Tamandua tetradactyla: one gene and its partner. The protein of the gene in region 2 interacts with the protein of the main gene of each other region in a biochemical or structural test. Links are inferred from orthologs where the notes say so. Each region holds a gene or a part of one and is shown on either strand. Other genes may lie near its edges.

Region 1 (10,452 bases), on a different chromosome or scaffold from region 2:
TGATGCCTTGATAAACTCCAGAGTGATTTGAACAGTGAATAAAGAAGTATTTGCAAAGTCCCCTTGGGGGAATGGGGAGAAAGGGGGAAAAATTCAACTTCCCTTTTTGGAGAATTCCTGATATTCTCGCAAGCAGCAGGGACAACCAAATCAATAGGCTGAACCCTCAATCTTGGGGTTTGCCCCTATGAAACCTATCCCTGCAAAGGATAGGCTAAGCCTACTTAAAATGAGGCCTAAGAGTCACCCCCAGAGAACATCTTTGTTGCTCAGATGTGGCCTCTCTCTCTCTGACATGGCAAGCAAACTCACTGCCCTCCCCTGCTTTATGTGGGACATGACTGCTAAGGGTGTAAACCTCCCTGGAAATGTGGGACAGAAATCCTAGGATGAGCTGGGACTTGGTATCAAGGGATTGAGAAAACCTTGACCAAAAGAGGGAAGAGGAAAATGAGACAAAATAAAGTGTGTCAGTGGCTGAGAGATTTCAGAGTCAAGAGGTTATCCAGGAGGTTCTTTTTAAGCATTATATAGATAGATATCCCCTTTTTGGTTTATGGTGTATTAGAGTGGCTAGAGGGAAGTACCTGAAACAGTAGAACTGTGTTCCAATTGCCATCTTTCTTAAAGATCAAGGGCCTGGCCTATTGATTTGGGTGTCTCTAATGCTTGACATAATATCAAGGGTTTCCCAGGTGGTAAAGCTTAATAGTTCCTTATTTTTTCTCCAATCTCTAGGAAATTTGCCAATACTTTTTGATTATCTACTTAACATACTCTGGGATGTGTCCAGGCATTACATTAAGTTATACAGGATTAAAGTCCTTCGTTCTTTTTTTTTTTTTTTTAATATTTTTATTGTAAATAACAAACATACAAACATTCTTGACATGGTTATAATCAATGGCTCACAATATCATCACATAGTTGTATATTCATCACCAAGATCATTTGATCATTGATCTTCAGGCTTGCTCTTGTGAAGCTTATGTATGTAGTTGAAAAGCTTAGCCTACCTATAGGTATGCCTAAGAGTTACTTCTGGAGGACCTCTTTTGTTGCTCAGATGTGACCTCACTCTCTAAGCCCAACTCTGCAAGTGAAATCATTGCCCTCCCCACTATGTGGGACATGACATCCAGAGGTGAAAGTCTCCCTGGTGGTGTGGGAGATGACTACCGGGAATAAGTCTGGCCCTGGCACCGTGGGATCAACAATGCCATCCTGACAAAAAGGGGGGAAAGAAGGGTAACAAATAAACTATCGGTGGCTAAGAGAATTCAAATAGAGTCAAGAGGCTACTCTGGAGGTCACTCTTACATAAGTTTCAGTTAGACATTGCTACCTATCATGTCTTGCCAAACCCCAATCAAAACCAATCCTGCCAATCCTAAAGAACACCTAGGACATTCTATAAAATTCTGCAAAGGATCCATGCACTAGGGTAACTTTCCAGAAACCAACAACCTCCGGATGAGTACCTGGACCAGATAAGTCCTGAAATGCAGAGGGCCCAGCCTCTCCAGAATATCAACTAGTTCCATCCCCTATCCCCTATTATCAACAGCCCCTCCCAATAGGAAAAAATTAGAATGGACATAGTCCTAATACTCCTTAAGAATGGGAGAATGATCAAAGGTAATGGTGGAGTTATACAGAGTAGGTTGGGTTTAACAAATGGGTATGATTGCTGAATCATTATATTGATACTTCTTTTAGTCTTCGGTATCTTAGAGCAGCAATAAGTAAAAACCTAAAATTGTAGAATTGAAACCCATACCAAATTCTGAAATCTATTGTACAACTAATTATTGTGGTGTGCTTTCAAATTTATTGCTTTTTTGTATATATATCATTTTTCACAGAAAAGAAAAAAAGTCAATTGCAATGATAAATGCACAGCTATATGATGATATTGTGAACCACTGATTGTACACTTTGGATGATTACAGGATATATGACTATATGATATATATCAATAGAAAATAAAATAATAATTTATATTAATAATTGAAAATAAGAGCCTTGAAGAGACAGAAACAAACATGTTTGACTTCAGCAGCAGTGTTACTAGAGAAAGGCTATGGATCACTTTTGCAGATGTGCTCAATAACCAATTCCTGAGACATGACGTTTCATTTATTACTAGGCACATAGCAGGAGAGCAGATGGTCTAGCAGCTCAAAATTTGTCTCCCCAAAGTAGTAATTCTGATAGTTTTATAGAGAAAAAGATGGGCAGACTTTAGGACAATGAGCACAGTGGCCCCAGATGATATAATTAGAGGTGATCTAATTATTGAGCATGCGCAGATCGATTATATGCTTAGAGAACGTATGTAAGAAAATGGTGGAATGAGGTATACGTGACTCGCAAGTTAAAGTCTAAGCTACTGTGCATGCAAGAGGGTCCACTTTGGTTAGATCCAGTCTCCCACATCAAGATAACTTTGGGTTTTGGGTGGGTTAAGTTCTGGGCTGATCCAGGACCCTTCATTAATAAACATTAGGGGTTGTCTTTAGTGATTACAAGCCTCTAAAGTTGAAAAACGGTATAACTTGGTACAAATGAAGGTTAGTCCCAGGTTTTCACAATCACAGGGGCAGAAGATAAGGACTATATAATCATTATCAGAGATCAAGGCAGCTGGATTACAGTTTAGAGATTTCAGTATTTCCCTCTATTCCAATATACCAGAAAGCAAAAAGGATTATCTATATAATGATTCAATAATCAAAATCATCTCTTAAAACCCTTATTTCTTGGTTACAGCAGCACCCAAAACTATTATTATGACCTCTCAGAGGTAACTGCTAAAGAGAGGCAGTAAAGACATGTTCCCTGTCCTAAAGAAGCTGATACCAAATCAGAAGATTTGATATGAACGAGTCCCTGATAAATAAGAAGGAGAAATTATTGCAGGCAAAATGACTGGACCAGAAACAGAACTGAGGAAGGAGTCTGTCTGAGACCTAGAATATCAATGCAGAGGGTCCTCAGAGATCTTCAAATCCATCCCCTTATTTGACAGATAAGGAGATCATGGCTCAGAGAAGGAAAGTGACTAGACCAAGCTGAACAGCTCTTTAGTGGCAGAACTAGGGTGCAAACCCACAGCTCCTGATTCCCAGACTAGTGCTTCTACTATAATCACACGTTCTAGCCTACGGAAACTGCTGTGTCTTGATTCTTGGGAGCTGCTACCTTTGTGTGAGGGGCTTGTCTGGCCTTAGATGTGGAGGTGATGACCCCAGGTCTAGTCAGTCAGCAGCCCTCTGACCCCTCTGTAATTTCCCTCTTCCCCTTCTCCACCCCATTGCATGCTGAGGTCCTTGCAAGTATTGAGCTTTCTAAGCAGCCTCCTTCTCTAGACTCTTAGCCCCATGAGCTCCAGGCCTCAGATCTGACCAAACTTGCACATCCAAAAAACCAACAGCAAAACCACTTTCAGAACATCTCCTCCCCAAGGGAGGATGGACTTCTTAGCACAATGAGAAAGCACTGCCCAGCGCTCGCAGGTAGAAGACTGGGCATTTAATGGCTGTGTGATCTTGGGCAAAACTCTGCCCCTCTCTGGGCCTCAGTTTTCTGCTGTCTTTTAAAAAATAAGATGAGGGTGAATATTGTCCGGGATGATCTATAATGAACCTGCCACAGGTAAAATCTGATGATTCTGTAACTGAGAAGTTAGGATGTAAGGGATGATTATGTTGCGGAATCATTAAACCGTATTTCTTTTTGCTTTCTGGTATATTGGAGCAAACAGAGGGAAAGACCTGAAATCCTTGAACTGTAATCCAATGTCCTTGACCTCTGATAGTGATTGTATAGCCTTTATCTTATGCCTTTGTGATCACAAAAGCCTCATGACTGACCCTCATTTCTACCCATTTTATCTGGTTTTTCAACTTTGGTGTCTTGGATCACTAACGACAGCGCCTAATGTACTTTTATTTTTATTTTTTATATATTTTTTGTATGCTGTATGGTGGGGGGTCACATTTCCTTCTTTTTCCATGTGACTGTGCCATTATTGCAGCACCATGTGTTCATTTTTGGGGGTGGGGGGACGAAGTGCATGCCTAACATTTATTAACGAAAGGCACTGGATCAGTCTAAAGCAAACCCAGCCCAATTCCAAAGTTATTACTGGATCTAACCGAAACGGGCCTGCTTGGCATGCGAAGCTTAGACTTTAACCTATAAGTGACCTAGACCTCATTATAATACTAAAAATCATGCCCATCATCATATTAAGGCCACCATTTCTTTTTTCTTTTTTTCTTTTTTTAAGGCCACCATTTTCTTACATATGTTCTAGGACTAAGCATGTAATCAATCTGCACATGCTCAATAATAAAAACACCTCTACTTACATCATCGAGAACCACTGCACTCATTATCCAACCACCTGCCCATCTTTTGATACTCTAAAACCACAGATTTACTGCAGTTCAGGAAAAAAGATTTGGGGGCTGATATGCCATCTGATCTCTTGCTTCAGGCCTGTCAATAAACTCTTTATCTCTTTGAAACCCTAGTGTCTTGAGAATTGGTTCTTTAAACACTTTGGGCAAAAAATCCAACACCTTTGTTTCTTAACAATTCCCTTGTCAGGGACACCAAATGTGACTATCTAACAGCAGGCAGTAAAGTTCTGGAAATAACTTTAGGATGGCTTTAACACTGCTTCACTGCAGAATAACGGTACCCAATAGAAATATAATGAGTCACATATATCATTAAATTTTTTCTTATGGTCACATTTTAAAAAGTAAAATAAAAAGTAAAAAGAAAGGCGAAATTTATTTTAATACATTTTACTTAACCTAAAATATTCAAAATGTTATCAAACTCAGCTCAATTTAAAAGGATAATGTCCTAAGAACACCTCAGAACGATTTAGAAGGCCCTTCACAATTCTGCCCCAATTTCTTTCTCTAAAATGAGGCTATAATGACTTTTTTTTTTTTTTTTGGCATGAGCAGGCACTGGAATCCAACCCGCGTCTCCGACTTGGCAGGAAAGAATTCTGCCTGCTGCGCCACCGTGGCCCGCCCTAAAATGATATTTTTTTAACCCAACAAAGTTTTCCAGCCTCCTTGCATTTTTCCCTCTCTGGCTGGGGAACTTCTGCATCTCCTTGAAGATTCATTCCCTAGTTCCATCCTTCATTCATTCATTTAAAGAGGGTCTGCTGGATCAGGCAGCTTGCTGGAGGTTGGACCCAAAATGGAAACTACGTTGGTTCACTATGGGCACCTTCTTAGACCAATCCTTCCCCCTTCCCGCAAAGCTGAGATGGTTCCTGGAGGAGCCGCTTGAGCTCTAGCTGAACCCTTATCATCCAGCAATTTGGGTCACGTGCCCTTCTCCCACACCCTCCCCAAAGGCGGGTTACCTGCTTTATTTGCACGTATTTATTTCTTGAATGTCAGTCATATGGTGAATGCCCAATAAACAAATGAGGAGTGAATGACAATCAATCTCCTCCGGGAAAGAAGGAAGCAAGGGTTGGGAAGAATACCTGGCGTGATGTCTTAAAGTAGAAATCAGGAGTCCCCAGAGTGGGCCGGGCCTCATAGGACCCTGGCCCAGCGCCCCCAACCCAGACAGGCTTTAAACAAGAGAGGTCTCCCGCCCCGAACCTCGCCCCTGCCAGCTTAGAAGGGACAGGCAATGGGTGACCGCGCCGGGATCCCCGCGGTTGGAGCACAGACGGTCCCGACCCCGGGGTCCCAGCGCCGCCGGGGGACCCACGTGCAGGCAGCAGCGCAGGGCTGGGTGGGGCTACGGCACAGCGGTGACTACAAATCCCAGGGGGGTGCGAGCGGAAGGGGCGGTCCTGGGCGGGGCGGCCGCGCTTGGTCTGCTGCACCGGGATTTAGTACACTGGAGACCATGTCGGAGGGCAACGGCTGCAGTCAGACCCCAAGCCGGGCGATCCCGGCCACCCGCCGGGTGGTCCTGAGCGATGGCGTGCAGCTGCCGCCCGGGGACTACAGCACCACCCCCGGCGGCACACTCTTCAGTACCACCCCGGGAGGTAGGCGCCTGTTTGGGGGGCACCGCGTGCTGGCTCCGGGGAACTGGTCGTGGGGCGGACCGATGGCACCTCGCGGAAGGGGACGCGGTGCTTGGGACGCGGGCAATGGGCCGGACGGATAAGGGGCATTAAGGAGGGAGCTTGGGGTCACGGAGGTGGCCATGGGGAGTGAGCGGGCCCCCGTGGCCTGCCCTCCGGATTGTCCTCCGGAGCCCAGAGTTAGTTCTGCAAACTCCCCCTTCTGGGAGAGATAGAGGAGCACTCTCGGCCGAAACACACGCACGCTCCCTGATTGCCCCCTGCCGAGGTGTGCTTTTCCCCTTGTGGGTGTCGCGACAGTTCCAGGGTGGGACGGGGTCGGGTTAGGGTGTCCCACGGATCAGGGAGAGGCCCAGCCTGCGGCTTCTAGGGCATGGGACGGGCACTCTTATTGAATAAATAACCCCAGGGAAGGAGAGGACACCCCTCACAATACTTGTAACAGAATCCCTTTTCCTTCCCGAGGTACCCCAGTTTTGCGTTGGACTCCGTCATCGGAGTTTTGGTGGGAGGGTTGCTGAGCGCCCGGCAGCGCCTGTGGGCACGTGTGGGACAGCCCACATTCCCACGGGTGGGTTCTCCGCGGAGGGGCTCGGCGCCGCGCGCAGGGCCGTGCAGAGAAACACATTCTTCCTCCCGGGGCGGGGGGGCCGTGTGAGCTCTCCGAATGTGGATGAGGAAGAGGAAGCTGAGTCGGCACGGGTGGGGGCCATAGTCTAGGCTGCCCCCTGGGGAGCCAAGCATTCCCTCCCAGGCCGGGAGCCCCGGCTCAGTCGCGCTGATGAAACCTGCCCGCCTGTTTGCATGATGAAATCCTCATGGCTCACCACTTCCCTTCATTCCTCGCTCTGTCCCCACCCGCCTTTTCTCCTCTCCCACCGCTCGCCTTTCCCACCAAGCTATCCGAAATCGCGTTCAGCTGAGTGGCGCGCGGCGGTCGTGGAGACCCGCGCGGGCCTGCGGCGGCCTCACCTCCTGCCACATGCTCATTTTCTCAGGCAGCTGCTCCACCGCTGACGAGTACAGCCAGATCCAGCGACCTCGTATGTTTAGTCCAAAACACAATACACACGTCAGAGCCATTAGGGTTAGTAGATGTTCGTGCCTCCCCCCCCCACCCCAGCGCATGCCTCTGCCTTATTCTTCGAAACATGGCACCAAGCCCCAAAGCTTGAAAACATGTGTCATTCTCCAGAGTCACAGTTTGCCCAGATTGGGTAAGAAATAGCAGCCAGCCAGAGTAGGGAGAAATACTCTTTCTTCTATTAGTAACTAGCCAAGAGAAGTTCTCAGGGCCTCTTAGCACTCAACTCAAATTCTCTTTCCCAGCCAGCCCTTGTAGAGCCCATGCTGTTTGCTTTCTCTTTGTTATGATGTATCTTCCAGGACCTTTTTGACCATTTTGGGGTTCCTTAAGTGCAAATCTCTGTTTAATCTGTGCAGGCTAGACCCTGAGGCTGGCCCCTTTCCTGAAAGCTTTGTTGCAGGAGGAGTACTGGGCAGACTGGAAGCGGTGTCCACTCTTTATAAGAAACTCTGATTCGGTCCTCACTTTGGATCGAGAAGACCACAGCAAAACTCCTCCTCCCGTTGAAGGTTTATTCTTGGGAGAAAGGAAAGGGGCTTCTGGATCAGAGTGTAACATGTTTCTGAGGCCAACTGGAAGAAAACCCAGTGCCAGGAGCCTAAGGCCAGCTCTTCTCTTCGATGCCCAGTCAGGGTAGACACAACTCAGTCCGAATCCTGAGCCCAGCTAGCCTGCCAAAGTCGGTTTGTCTGGTCTGCCTCAGTTGGCCATGGGGTGCAGTCTACCTCCCAAGTCCAGTTTATCCCACCCCTTCGCCAGAACAGAGAAGCGTGACCTACTGATAAAAAGTCATTTCCTGGTCCTCTTTGCTTTAGTCCATGGTGGTCTCCAGGACTGTATCTCAACCTTAAATGTGCCTGTGAATTAGCTGGGGACCTCATTTAAATGCAGATTTTGACTAAGTATGCCCCTGGGTGGGGCCTGTGAGTCTGCATTTCTAATGTGCCCCCCAGTGACTGGTCCATGGGTGACATCCTGAGTCCTCAGGAATTAGTGGAATGTAGCTCCCCTTGCCTTTTCAGACCTCTGGGGTCTGGCTAAAAAGCGATGATTCTATCTAGGTAAGCTTCCGAGGTTGGGTTTGGCATCCGCTTCTAAAGGAGGGAATGGAAAGTCCGTCTTGGCAGTGTCTGCATAGGAGCCCACACTGGCAGATTTGTAGGAGGGCTCATTCTTTACGATGAGCTGCTGGGATAAGTCTCCACTAGTCACTGCAGTGCTGGTCCCTAGAGGAAAAAAACAGCAGTGGATTTGAGTGACCTCCATTCCCGTGGTTGCTCTCTATGGCCATTCATCCTTCACTCCTGAACTTAGGTGTCTGTAGGACTTGAGAGAAATTTGCATAACAGAGTGTTGGGCATGAATATTTTGAGTCGAAAATCTCCAGTGACACCATACACATCCCTTGAACTGGTAGAGCGTCTGAGTGGGTTGGAGACATCTCCTGCCTCACCCACTCAGTCTTTGCATTCCTCCTTCCATGTTGGATTTCTGACTTGCCAAAAGGGGCTGCTTGGATGGTAGGCTTACCTAAGACCTGTACTTGGGTAAAAGTAAGGTTAATCAGAAGTAAGCAGGTCTGGCTGCAGATGTTAGTGGCATCCTATTTGGTTAGACAAACAAGGTCTGTGCCCAGGAAGCTTACTCCCAAGTCTTGGGGTCGTGGAACAGATGGGAGTTCTGAAGCCACAGAACAGCCAGTGTCTCAGTGCCTTTGTCACGTGCAAAGGAGATATTGTGCTAAGGACAGGTCAAAAGAGCTTGGACATTACAGCAGTGAGGGAGAAGCCACAGGTACTCTTCCTCATATTGACCTGAGCGTCTTTTTTTATTTATTTATTTATTTTTAACATGGGTAGGCACTGGGAATCGAACCCGGGTCCTCGGGCATGGCAGGCAAGCATTCTTGCCTGCTAAGCCACCGTGGCCCGCCCCTGAGCATCTTTTTAAAGTGTGTAGAACATTCCACATAATATCCCTCTTTAAAGACTTTTTTTTAATTAAAAAAATTTAAAAAATATATATAACAAACACAAACATTCTTATGATCATTCTGTTGTACATATATAATCAGTAATTCACAATATCATCACATAGTTGCATATTCATCATCATGATCAATTCTTAGAACATTTGCATCAATTCAGAAAAAGAAAAAGGCAACAGAAAAAGATGCATACGTAACATACCCCTTACCCCTCCCCCTATTGATCACTAGCATTTCAATGCACTAAATTTATTTTAACATTTGTTCCCCCTATATTTATTTATTTTTAATCCATATGTTTTACTCGTCTGTCGATAAGGTAGATAAAAGGAGCATCAGACACAAGGTTTTCACAATCACACAGTCACATTGTGAAAGCTATATCATTATACACTCATCTTCAAGAAACATGGCTACTGGAACACAGCTCTACATTTTCAGGCAGTTCGCTCCAGCCTCTCCATTACACCTTAACTTAAAAGGTGATAACTATATTATGTGTAAGAATAACCTCCAGGATAACCTCTCCATTCGGTTTGGAATCTCTCAGCCACTGACACTTTATTTTGTCTCATTTCACTCTTCCCCCTTTCAGTCCAGAAGATTTTCTCAATCCCTTGATGCTGAGTCCCAGCTCATTCTAGGATTTCTGTCTACAGAAGGAATTGCCAGGAAGGTCCACACCCTGCGGAGTCAAGACATACGTATTTTAATTGTTTTCAGAGATTACTTTTTTTTTTCCTCAAATATTTTGAAAGGTGTGATTTTTTTTTCCTTAAAGAGCCAAAAGTCCTTCATTTCCAAATTTGCTGAAAGAGGCCAGGTTGTTGGTATAATTCAGGGAGGCATTTTCTTATACGGGACAATAAGTCATTCTAGCAGAGGACGTAGGAAGGGGCAGCAGTACTGGAAAACAAGGAATGCCCCCCAAGGTGAAGGTTTTTAAGGGAAAATGTTCATTTGTACATATATAAGGAAAACTGTTCATTTGTGCATATAGATTTTTGTGTGTACAAAGGCATGAAAAGCCTGTCATTTCTGGTCTTAAACACGTGCTGGTGTGTTTCCACCATGATGACTCATGGCATATGTTTACCTGTTTGTTTTCTTCCTTAAACAGGAAGTGCTTTCAGGGCAATCTTACTCAACTTGGTATCTCCGGGATCTCGTGCCAGGCCTCATGTTCAGAAGGTGAAGGGTTGAAAAGAATCCTGGAATGAAAGCATTACCCTTAGCATAGCTTAGTTTCTTTATCATCAGATGTAGGTCTGAACTGGCTTGATGATATTTAAA
Region 2 (9,791 bases):
GCATTTATTGTGCCCCTACTGTGCGCCGACACTCATCTAGGCCCTGGGGACGGACGCAGCAGTGAACAGAATGGACAAAAAGCAGGGAGCACACGGACAGCAATAAGGACGATATAATTAGCGGCCCCCTCCCACCCCACCCCCTTTTAATTGAAGCCCTGGAATGGGAAGTGATGCCTAGTAAGTTATTAGCCCTAGTAATAATCACAACAACAATAATTCTCGCTTTTTATTGTGCCATTACCACATGCCCTCTGCCACCTGGCCTGGCTTTTTTTTTATCCCTTTATCTCTAGTTTATTTACTTATTCGTGCAAATAACCGCCCTCTTCCCCACCCACCAGGTGGCCGGCTCTGTCTTCATCGCCTGCCTTCTGGAAGCTTATGGTCCATGTCTGTAGCTGCTCTGACTCGCCAGAGCCAATCGTTAAATCTTCAGGAACTTTGTGAGCTGGTCCACTAAACACAGCCATTAATAAAAATTAAATTATACAAACTTCCAATTAAATTATATTAACAATAAAGGTAACAAATACTCAAAACTCATCACTTCCTAATTATTTCATTAATTTTTTTGAATCACATACGTTCTTCGGGTTATTTACACTTACTGTATCTGTATGATGGAAACACAATACAATGATGTGCTACTGCACATCTGTTCTCAACTCTTCATCCAGTGACATCCGTAAGTAGCTTGAAATCTGCCACTGGGAATACTTACACGGTGCAAATCAGCAAATGCTCGATAATTGTTTTGTTGATTATCTAGGCTTAAGAAAGGGATGGAGAAAATATTAATAATGCATGTTTGGGGTGTACCGGTAGTTCGGTGGTAGAATTCTAGCTTGCTATGCAGGTGACCCAGGTTTGGCTCCCCACCCATGCACCAGAAAAGATTAAAAAAAAAAAAAAAAAAAGCATGTTAAACTCCAGAGTGTATGAAGTCTGTAGTAATTACACTGTGTATAGCAGTGTTTAAGTTTCCATCTGCTAAAACAGATTCCCTGCAATGGCTTAACAGGAATTTATTGGCTCACTGTTTCCGAGACTGGAAGGCTCACTTCCTCCCTTGTCAGTATTTTCTGGCTGGCTAGAAACCTTTGGGGGTTCCTCAGCTTATGTCTCACATGGCAACACACATGGCCGTGTCTTCTTTCTCTTTGGGGTTCTGATGACTTCCAGCTTCTGGGAGCTCCTGGTGGCTTCTTCTTCTGTGTCTGATTTCCTTCTGAGGACTTCAGCCATATGGGATGAAGGCCCATCCTCATCAGTTTGGCCACAACTTTCAGTGGTCCTGTGTACAAATGGGTTCCCGCCCACAGGATCAGGGGCTGGGACCGGAACTTGCCTTTTGTGGGGAACATGATTCAATCCCCAACAACCACCAAAAGTTTAAGGAAATATTCTTCCAGTATTGGAAAGCTATTATCCAATTCAGCAAAAAATCATTCATGTCACTGACAAAGGAGTGAAGGCCCAACATATTTCCTGATTGTTTCACTTTCCTTTTGTTAATATAAAAGGAAATACCGGCCAACATTCATGTCAGAACTACACTCATTCATCAGTTTCAACCATTTTAAGTGGGCTATGCTATATCAAGGAGAGCATTCTGTGAGAATCAATTGGCTCTATGGAATTCACAATAAAGAGCACTGTATATTTTATTATTATTGGAAATTGTGTACTACACATCCTTTATAGCAATAAAATTTATAATACACATAATATATATGTACCCAGGATGGACCACATAATTTGCAGGACCCAATGTTCAAAACGTGGAGCCCCTTGTTCAAATATCATCAAGAATTTCAAGACAGAGCACTGTGACTTCACAGGTTCAAGCCCATGAAGCTGACCCTGTAGATGAATATATGTAGAGAGCCGCTTTCCGGGTTTGGCCTAGTGGACACGCTGCAGCCTGCTCTAGAGTTCCCCCCGCCCATCGAGTGAGCCAAGATGGCGCTCACATCCTGCTTCCGCAAATGACGCACACGCCCACCAACCCTATCTTCCAATCACCTCTGTATACGTGGCACTAACCTATTGGGTTTGGGCACAGTATATAAGAGGTTACCCGGACGGGGTGGGTGGAGACGACCCACAGGGAGCCGTACCTGACGGCCGCACAGAGGTTGTCTCCCCGCGGGGTGCTTAGGCCCGCGTGGAACCTGTAACAGAGAATGCAAGCTTAACTCCAGTAAAGGTCTGTGCTCACAACCGTTGCGTGCCTCGAACCCGTGTTTATCACTCGAGTCGGTTTGCCTGCGCCTGTCTCTTTCTCCCCTCCTGTTCCCTTCGCCGGCCGGGGATCAGAAGCCGAACGAGATGGCTGCGGACAAATATATGCACCCCCCCCCACACACACACACATGAAAGAATGATCAGTGGCCAAACCTGAGTGTCTGAAGCATTGCTGCATCAGACAAGGGAAATAAGCTAATATATTAAAATCCTGGCTCCATCACTTACCAACTATATGACTCAATCTCTCTGTATCTCAGACTACTAATGTATAAAATGGGAACAATCCATCCTGCCTCTTAAGTAATGTTTAAGAATTACAGTTCAGCAATTATGAACTGATCACATGTACCAGATAATGTTGTAGGCATTTTACAGGTATTAGCATTTAACCCCTATGACACTGTCTACAGAAGTAGGTACCATAATCATTCTTGTTTTACACATAAAGAAGTAGGCACATAGAAATTATTTGTGCCCAGGTTCAAACAGTAAGTGTTGGATTTAAGTAGCAGATTTAAGCTGACTCCAAGCCTCTTCCAAACTTTATCCTACAATGCCTACCAAAATGCCTAATACATTTTAAGTGCTTAATAAATAAAGAGCTCCTTGTAAACTAAAAAGAGATCTACAAATGCACTGATTACTGCTGTCATAAAACCATCTTTGTTAGTTAAAAAAACAGGGACTTGCTTCATTTTAAGAGTGGCAAAAATCTCCCATTTCTGGTGGGAGTGAAAATTGGCACAACTCTTAGTGAGGGCAATTTGGCACTTTCCATTGAAACTACATGTGCATGTACCTCTGATCCTGCAATCACATTTCTGGGAAATTATCTTGGTACGCCCGCCCAGGAACAAAATGATATATGTACAAGGGCATTCACTGCAGCTTCAGTTGTAAGAGCAAAAAACTGGAAACAACACAACATCTATCAATAGAAGATGGAAAATAAATTACAGTGTATTCACATAATGGAATACTATGCAGCGACAAACAAGGAAGCTTTCTATATACTGGCATGGAAACATTTTCAAGATAAAAAGTGCAGAACAATGGATATAGTTAGAAAGGGGTAAAATAAAAATATTTATTTGTATTTGCTGATATTTGCATAAAGATACTCTAGAAGGTACATAAGAAACCAAAAGAATAAATAGTAAAGGGACATGAGTGAGTGCGTGAATTTCACTGATAAATGATTTTTATTTTGATATTCCTACAGTGAATACATTCTTTTTCACTTAATTTTTATTGTAGTTATATATATACATATATGTATATAAATTTGCTATTTTAGCCTTTTTTAAGTGTACAAATCAGTGATATTAATTATTTACAAGTTGACCAACCATCGTCACCGTCCATACCAAAACTTTATCACTCCAAACAGAACTCTGCACCCATTAAGCAATAACGCCCCTTCTCCCACAACCAACCCCTGGTAACCTCTAATCTACTTTCTGTCTCCACGAATTTGCTTATTTCTAGATAGATATCTCATATAAGATATTTCACAAAAGTGAACACATGCAGTATTTATGTCCGGCTGTTTCACTTAGCATCGTGTTTTCACCAAAGTTCATCCATCTCATAGCACGTATCAAAACTTCATTCCTTTTGACCGCTGAATAATATCCCATTGCATGTATACACGGTGACTCTAATACCTACTCAGAAATTATTAATGATTAAAAAGTAGTTAAGGGGCGGTGCAACGGCGGCTCAGCAGGCAGAATTCTCACTTGCCAAGCCGGAGACCAGAGTTCAATTCCCGGAGCCTGCCCATGCCCCCAAAAAGAAAAATGTCGCTAAGAGGGTGCAAGGATAGTTTAGCGGTAGAATTCTCGCCTGCCATGAAGGAGACCCGATTGGATTCCGGCCCATGCACTTCCCAAAAAAGAAAAAAAAAAAAAAAATCCAACAAATGGTGCTGCAATAACGGGAGGCTCACGTGGAAAAAGAATGAAATGTGACCCCCACAATACAGCATACAAAAAAATAATAATAATTAAGTGCCATTTTTGTTACTGAATTTTTTGGGGGGTTGGATGGCGGGATGTGCACTGGCCGGATCCGAACGGGGTCTCCCGCGTGGGAGGCAAGCATTGTACCCCTGAACCACCTCCGCACCCCTTGCCATTGAATTCTGGGAAGTTCTTTAAAACGATAACGTTGCTTTGAAATAATTTGAGTAGCTCATTTAATTAAGAACTGGTTATAAGTTCTCAGAATGATCTTTGAGCTAAAAAATTTTTGAAAAGCGAGAAAAATCTAACTTAAAACGTTCTCAAATGCATATTACATTTAAAGAAGAGAATTCATGGAGCCATAAGCAGAGCGCGGGCGAAAATTCTGAGACGCCAGGCTCGGAATTATCCAGAGCACAGCCTCGAACCTCAGTTTACAGCCGCTTGGACCCGCCCCGCAGTACCCAAGAGAACAGACTCGGCACAGCCACATCCCCGGTGCAGAAGGGAATTTTAGCAGTGATACACCGGATGTTTGAGTGGAAGTGACGAAGTCAACTCACGACCGATTGGCTCTCCCGAGCGGACCTCAGACTCCTTTTGCCTGTCACTGGCCCCCTGGTTTGTCTATTTGAAGAATCTCCGCCCCCCGGAGAAGCCGGCTCCTGAGGCGTCATACCTCCTTCATTACTATTGGACTGTGTTCCAGCCTATCTTCTTTTTCCGTCTGTCGATTGGTCATCGGGGCTGGGGGCCCGCCCTCACTCCCGCCCTCACTCCCGCCCGGCTTAGAGGACAGCGGGGAAAGCGGGTGGTGGGATTGGGGGTCTGAAACGGCGGTACCGGCGCTGGCGGCGGCAGCTGAGGACTTGACCGAAGCCGCGCGGTGAGTCTGGGGTCTGGCACCGACTCTTTTAACGTGGCGGAATGTCCGGACTCACGGCCAGTCTGGTCCGTATGGGGTCCCGGGAAGCCGCTTGTCGGGAACGTGGGGACTCCTTAGTACCGGCACCTCGGATCTGGGCGCCACCTGGGCCCTTGACCGCCACCCGGCGAGGCACGCCCACCTCCCGCGCGACCCCCGGCACCCTCTAGCCCGCCTGACTCCCAGGCACCCGCGAGGCCTGCTCATCAGCTCCGGTGCGGCAGAAGGCCCTTGGGGGCTCTTTGCCCTGTGGTCTCAGACACGCCTTCTGAGCCACCTACAAATCCCGGACCCCCTGCCTCGGAGAGGACGCCGTCAGTGACAGCCCCTTGTTCTCCACCGTAGAGACTTCTCAGGGACTCAGTCCCCGGGATTGAGCTCGGTTCCATGCTGGGGTTTCATTCTCTTTGCCTTTCCCACGTCAAGACACTTGACTTCGAGTAGTTTACGACTGAATTCGACCCGGAGCAGATGGCCTGTGGGCCTTAGACCGTATGAAGATACACTGGTCCTTTCTTGAGAATGGGGAATCGTTTGCCAGCCGCCCACCCCTCCCCACCACCGCCACACACTCACGCACACGCAAACGGTGTAGTACTTTTCTCATGAGGGATCCTTGGAATTTCTCTTCTGTAAAAGGTGCTAATTTCCTTTTGCAGTCTTCTTGGCACTGGAGTATTTAAAAGCTTTCAAAGGCAGTTATTCCCTGTTTTTTCCTCTGCGTGTCACAAATGCATTCAGAAATAAAATTTTTTGAGTAATTGGTTTTATAATATAATTTGAACGTAACTAAGATAGGTAAATATGTGTTATTCCCGTAGGAGTCTGTCAGGAGTCCCACTATGACCACTTTATTGTGGTTGCCTGATTGTCTTTATTTACCACTGGATCTTAAGCTCACTGAAGAATGAGTGAATGATCTCAAGAATTAATCAGTCTCTTTTAGTTCACATCTGAGAAGCTAGTGTTCTATAGAACCAAACTATCTAGTACAATAGCCACCAGCCACAGGCGACTACCAAGCACTTAAAATGTGGTTAGTCTAAATAGAGATTGCTCTAATTGTAGAATACAGGCTAGATTTTGGCGACAGTACAGAATAGAATGGAACCTGCATCAGTAATCTTTTATAATGATAGCATGTTGAACTGAGATTTTGGATGTATTGGGTTAAATTAAATATTAAAATTAATTTCATTGGTTTCTTTTCACTTTTTTTTTGAAATATGGCTACTAGGAAATTTAGAATTATTTTTGTGGATCGTATTTTATTTCTGTTGGCCAGCACTGCTATAGAATAATAATCTCCCTTTTTAGATTAAACTCCTTGAGGAAGGGGGCTGGCTTACTCATTGTTTTATTCTCTCCTTTCCTCCCCACTTCTAGTACCTGGTGCTGTGCCAGGTATATAGTGGTAATAATGATAAAAATAGCTGACACTTATTGAGAAATCACTGTGTGTCTGACCCCATTTTAACTGCTTTTTTTTTTAACCTGTATTAATTCGCTTGATCCTTACATCAACCCTTTGAATTAGGTACTATTATCCTCATATTGTAAATGAGGAAACAGCTACAGAAATTTTAAGTATCTTCCTCTAGGTATATAATCTTGGAAGTAGATTTAAACCCAAGTAGTCTGGCTCCATGGCACACACTTTGACCCACTGTGTTATGCTGCTACTCACTGTTGGGTGAATGTTTTCTAGGCTTTCTACATTTTCCTCAGTGAAGTCTCCCAGCTCTTAGAATCCCCTACCTGACCTGGGGCCGGGGGGAGTGGAGATCTATGTTGAGGAGCCTAGGGCCAATAAATTCATTCCCATAGTTCATATTCAGAATACTAAAGAAAGCTTCTCTCCAAAGAACCTTAGGGCAAAATGCTTGGAACGGGACCTGCGGCGGCCACCACAGCTACCACCACCTCCAGTAATGTGAGCGTTCTGCAGCAGTTTGCCAGTGGCCTGAAGAGCCGCAATGAGGAGACCAGGGCCAAAGCTGCCAAGGAGCTCCAGCACTACGTTACCATGGAGCTCCGAGAGGTTGGGGGCTTCTGTGATTTGGGACCAGTCATTGTGGGGTGTTTGGGCTAAATTACCATCACTGTTTTAGATGCTTTTTGACAGCTAAGGAGGATTTGGAAATGTAGAGATTCTGTTTTGGAAAAACGACCAACTTGTAATGTCCATAGACTATACAGGTTCCTTTGCAGTGGTTTCACATGTCTGTGGCATTTCTTGTGTTTGTGGTAACATTTTTGGAGTCAGAGTAGAGGCTGTCTTTTTTAATTTATTGTCTTTCCTGCCACGTACCAGACCCTCATTTCTTTCTTCCTGATTATAGTGGCTGGGGAAGTTGATAACCTGGAGCTATCTAAGTAAATACTCTACATGAAGTCAGCAACAGTGTCTTGTTCATCCTTGTACGCCAAGCACTAGGTAGAACCTAGGACAAGATGTTTCCTACCATAAAGTTGATAATTAATAAAGATTTAGTAAATGAACAGATCCAATTATGAGTTCCATTGCTGCAGTTTAAAGCTGTAAAAATGGGCAGTAACTTTGTCTTCTTTGGTTTAAACTGTACCTGCTAAAAACCTCTCAGGTCCTAATCTTTGGAAGGCCCCCAACCCAAACCAGGAAGACATTAGAAATTGTTCTGAGCACATCTTCTTTTGCAGATGAGTCAAGAGGAGTCCACTCGCTTCTATGATCAGCTGAACCATCACATTTTTGAATTGGTCTCCAGCTCAGATGCCAATGAGAGGAAAGGTGGCATCTTGGCCATAGGTAAGCATGTCGTCTCTGATAACAATAACAGCTAGGAATACAGCCCCACTTATTTTTGTGTCCACTGTACCCCTTAATGTCTGCCACTTAATGGATACTAGTTCATATTTGTTTAATGAACTTCATGGGACTGGTGCTCTTATATTATACGTATCTTAGTTCTAACAACAGTCCTGAGGCATAGGCAAAGAAGGTATTTTCAGATATGAAAACTGAGTCTCAGGACTGTTAAGTGGCTTTTCTAGGTCCAGACAGTTTGCCAGAGATGGGCCTAGAAGTTGGCTTCCTTTCTGTTCTAGTTTGCTAGCTGCCGGAATGCAATATACCAGAAACAGAATGGCTTTTAAAAAGGGAAATTTAATAAGTTGCTAGTTTACAATTCTACAGCCGAGAAAATGTCCCAATTAAAACAAGTCTATAAAAATGTCCAATCAAAGGCATCCAGGGAAAGATACCTCAGTTCAAGAAGGCCAATGAAGTTTGGGGTTTCTCTCTTAAGTAGAAGGGCACATGGCGAGCACAGTCAGAGTTTCTCTCTCATCTGGAAGGACACATGGTGAACACAGCATCATCTGCTAGCTTCTTATCTCCTGGCTTCTGGTTTCATGAAGCTCCCCAGGAGGCGTTTTCCTTCTTCATCTCCAAAGGTCTCTGGCTCGTGGACTCTCTGCTTTGTAGTGCTGCAGCATTCTCTGCTCTCTCCGAATCTCCCATTCTCCCAAATGTTTCCTCTTTTATAGGACTCCAGTAAGCCAATCAAGACCCACCCAAATGGGTGGAGACATGTCATCACCTAATCCAGTTTAACAACCACTCTTGACTAAATCACATCATCCAGGGAGATGATCTGATTACAGTTTCAAACATACAGTATTGAATAGGGATTATTCTACCTTTATGAAATGGGATTTTGATTAAAACATGGCTTTTCTAGGGGGCATACTTCTTTTCAAACCAGCACACTTTCCATTCCCCCTATATTGCTTTTTACAGGATCTGGTTTCTGTGTAGAGCAGGATGGCAGAATGAGGCTCACAAATACAGAGTTGTCAGACTGGCATCTTTGTTAAGTTAGAGGCATAGTTATAAAAGATAGGTAATTTTCAACTTCCAAGGACTGCTGGTCCATTCTATGACCTTGGTTGTATTCTTTTTTCTCTTGGGAAAATAAATTATATGATACTAAAATGAGATCTTTTTGTTTCATATAAGTAGGTTTGGCCCAAATATCGAAACTATTGATAAAGGTGAAAATTAGCTACTGCTTTACCATCTGGAAATTGAAGTTTAGTCAAAGTGAAATGAAAAGAAAACTCACCAGCTTTCACTTCACAGCTCTGTTCATTTTTGGATAGCATGTGCCCCATCCTCACGTTTGCCTTCTCTTCTCTAGCCAGCCTTATAGGAGTGGAAGGAGGGAATGCCACCCGAATTGGCAGGTTTGCTAACTACCTGCGGAACCTTCTCCCCTCCAATGACCCAGTTGTCATGGAAATGGCATCCAAAGCCATCGGCCGCCTAGCCATGGCAGGGGACACTTTTACTGCTGAGTATGTGGAATTTGAGGTGAAACGAGCCTTGGAGTGGCTGGGTGCTGACCGCAACGAGGGCCGGAGACATGCAGCCGTGAGTACCTGCGAGGGAGGAGCACAGCTAGGCCTGGGGAGCGATGACAACATTTTGGAATCTCTCATGCAATGTGCTCAGGTTCCTGAAAGACAAAGAATGGGAAGGGGCACTTCAGGCAAAGGCTCTGTGTTTCTGGTGGATTTAGGTTTTCTTGTGAATCCGTATCTCTCTTTCAACCTGAGCTTGATACCTGAAAAAGAATCTTTAAAAGTTTTCTTCTTTGTTATTT

The links. The genes of interacting proteins can lie anywhere in the genome.
Region 1: of the proteins of MTOR (region 2) and EIF4EBP1, one has a biochemical effect on the other in vitro, tested with the Homo sapiens proteins (29 studies listed by BioGRID and IntAct, with this or other methods). The link is inferred for Tamandua tetradactyla from reciprocal best matches to the Homo sapiens genes MTOR and EIF4EBP1.

What each region holds. Positions count from the first base shown.
Region 1 is NC_135352.1:5,295,148-5,305,599, reverse strand, and holds the start of EIF4EBP1 (eukaryotic translation initiation factor 4E-binding protein 1), read left to right. Parts: upstream 1-5,858; 5' UTR 5,859-5,901; coding exon 5,902-6,046; intron 6,047-7,057; exon of another isoform or gene 7,058-7,130; intron 7,131-10,452. UniProt on the Homo sapiens protein: Repressor of translation initiation that regulates EIF4E activity by preventing its assembly into the eIF4F complex: hypophosphorylated form competes with EIF4G1/EIF4G3 and strongly binds to EIF4E, leading to repress translation.
Region 2 is NC_135328.1:214,143,655-214,153,445, forward strand, and holds the start of MTOR (serine/threonine-protein kinase mTOR), read left to right. Parts: upstream 1-4,986; 5' UTR 4,987-5,106; intron 5,107-7,010; 5' UTR 7,011-7,024; coding exon 7,025-7,186; intron 7,187-7,824; coding exon 7,825-7,933; intron 7,934-9,326; coding exon 9,327-9,559; intron 9,560-9,791. UniProt on the Homo sapiens protein: Serine/threonine protein kinase which is a central regulator of cellular metabolism, growth and survival in response to hormones, growth factors, nutrients, energy and stress signals.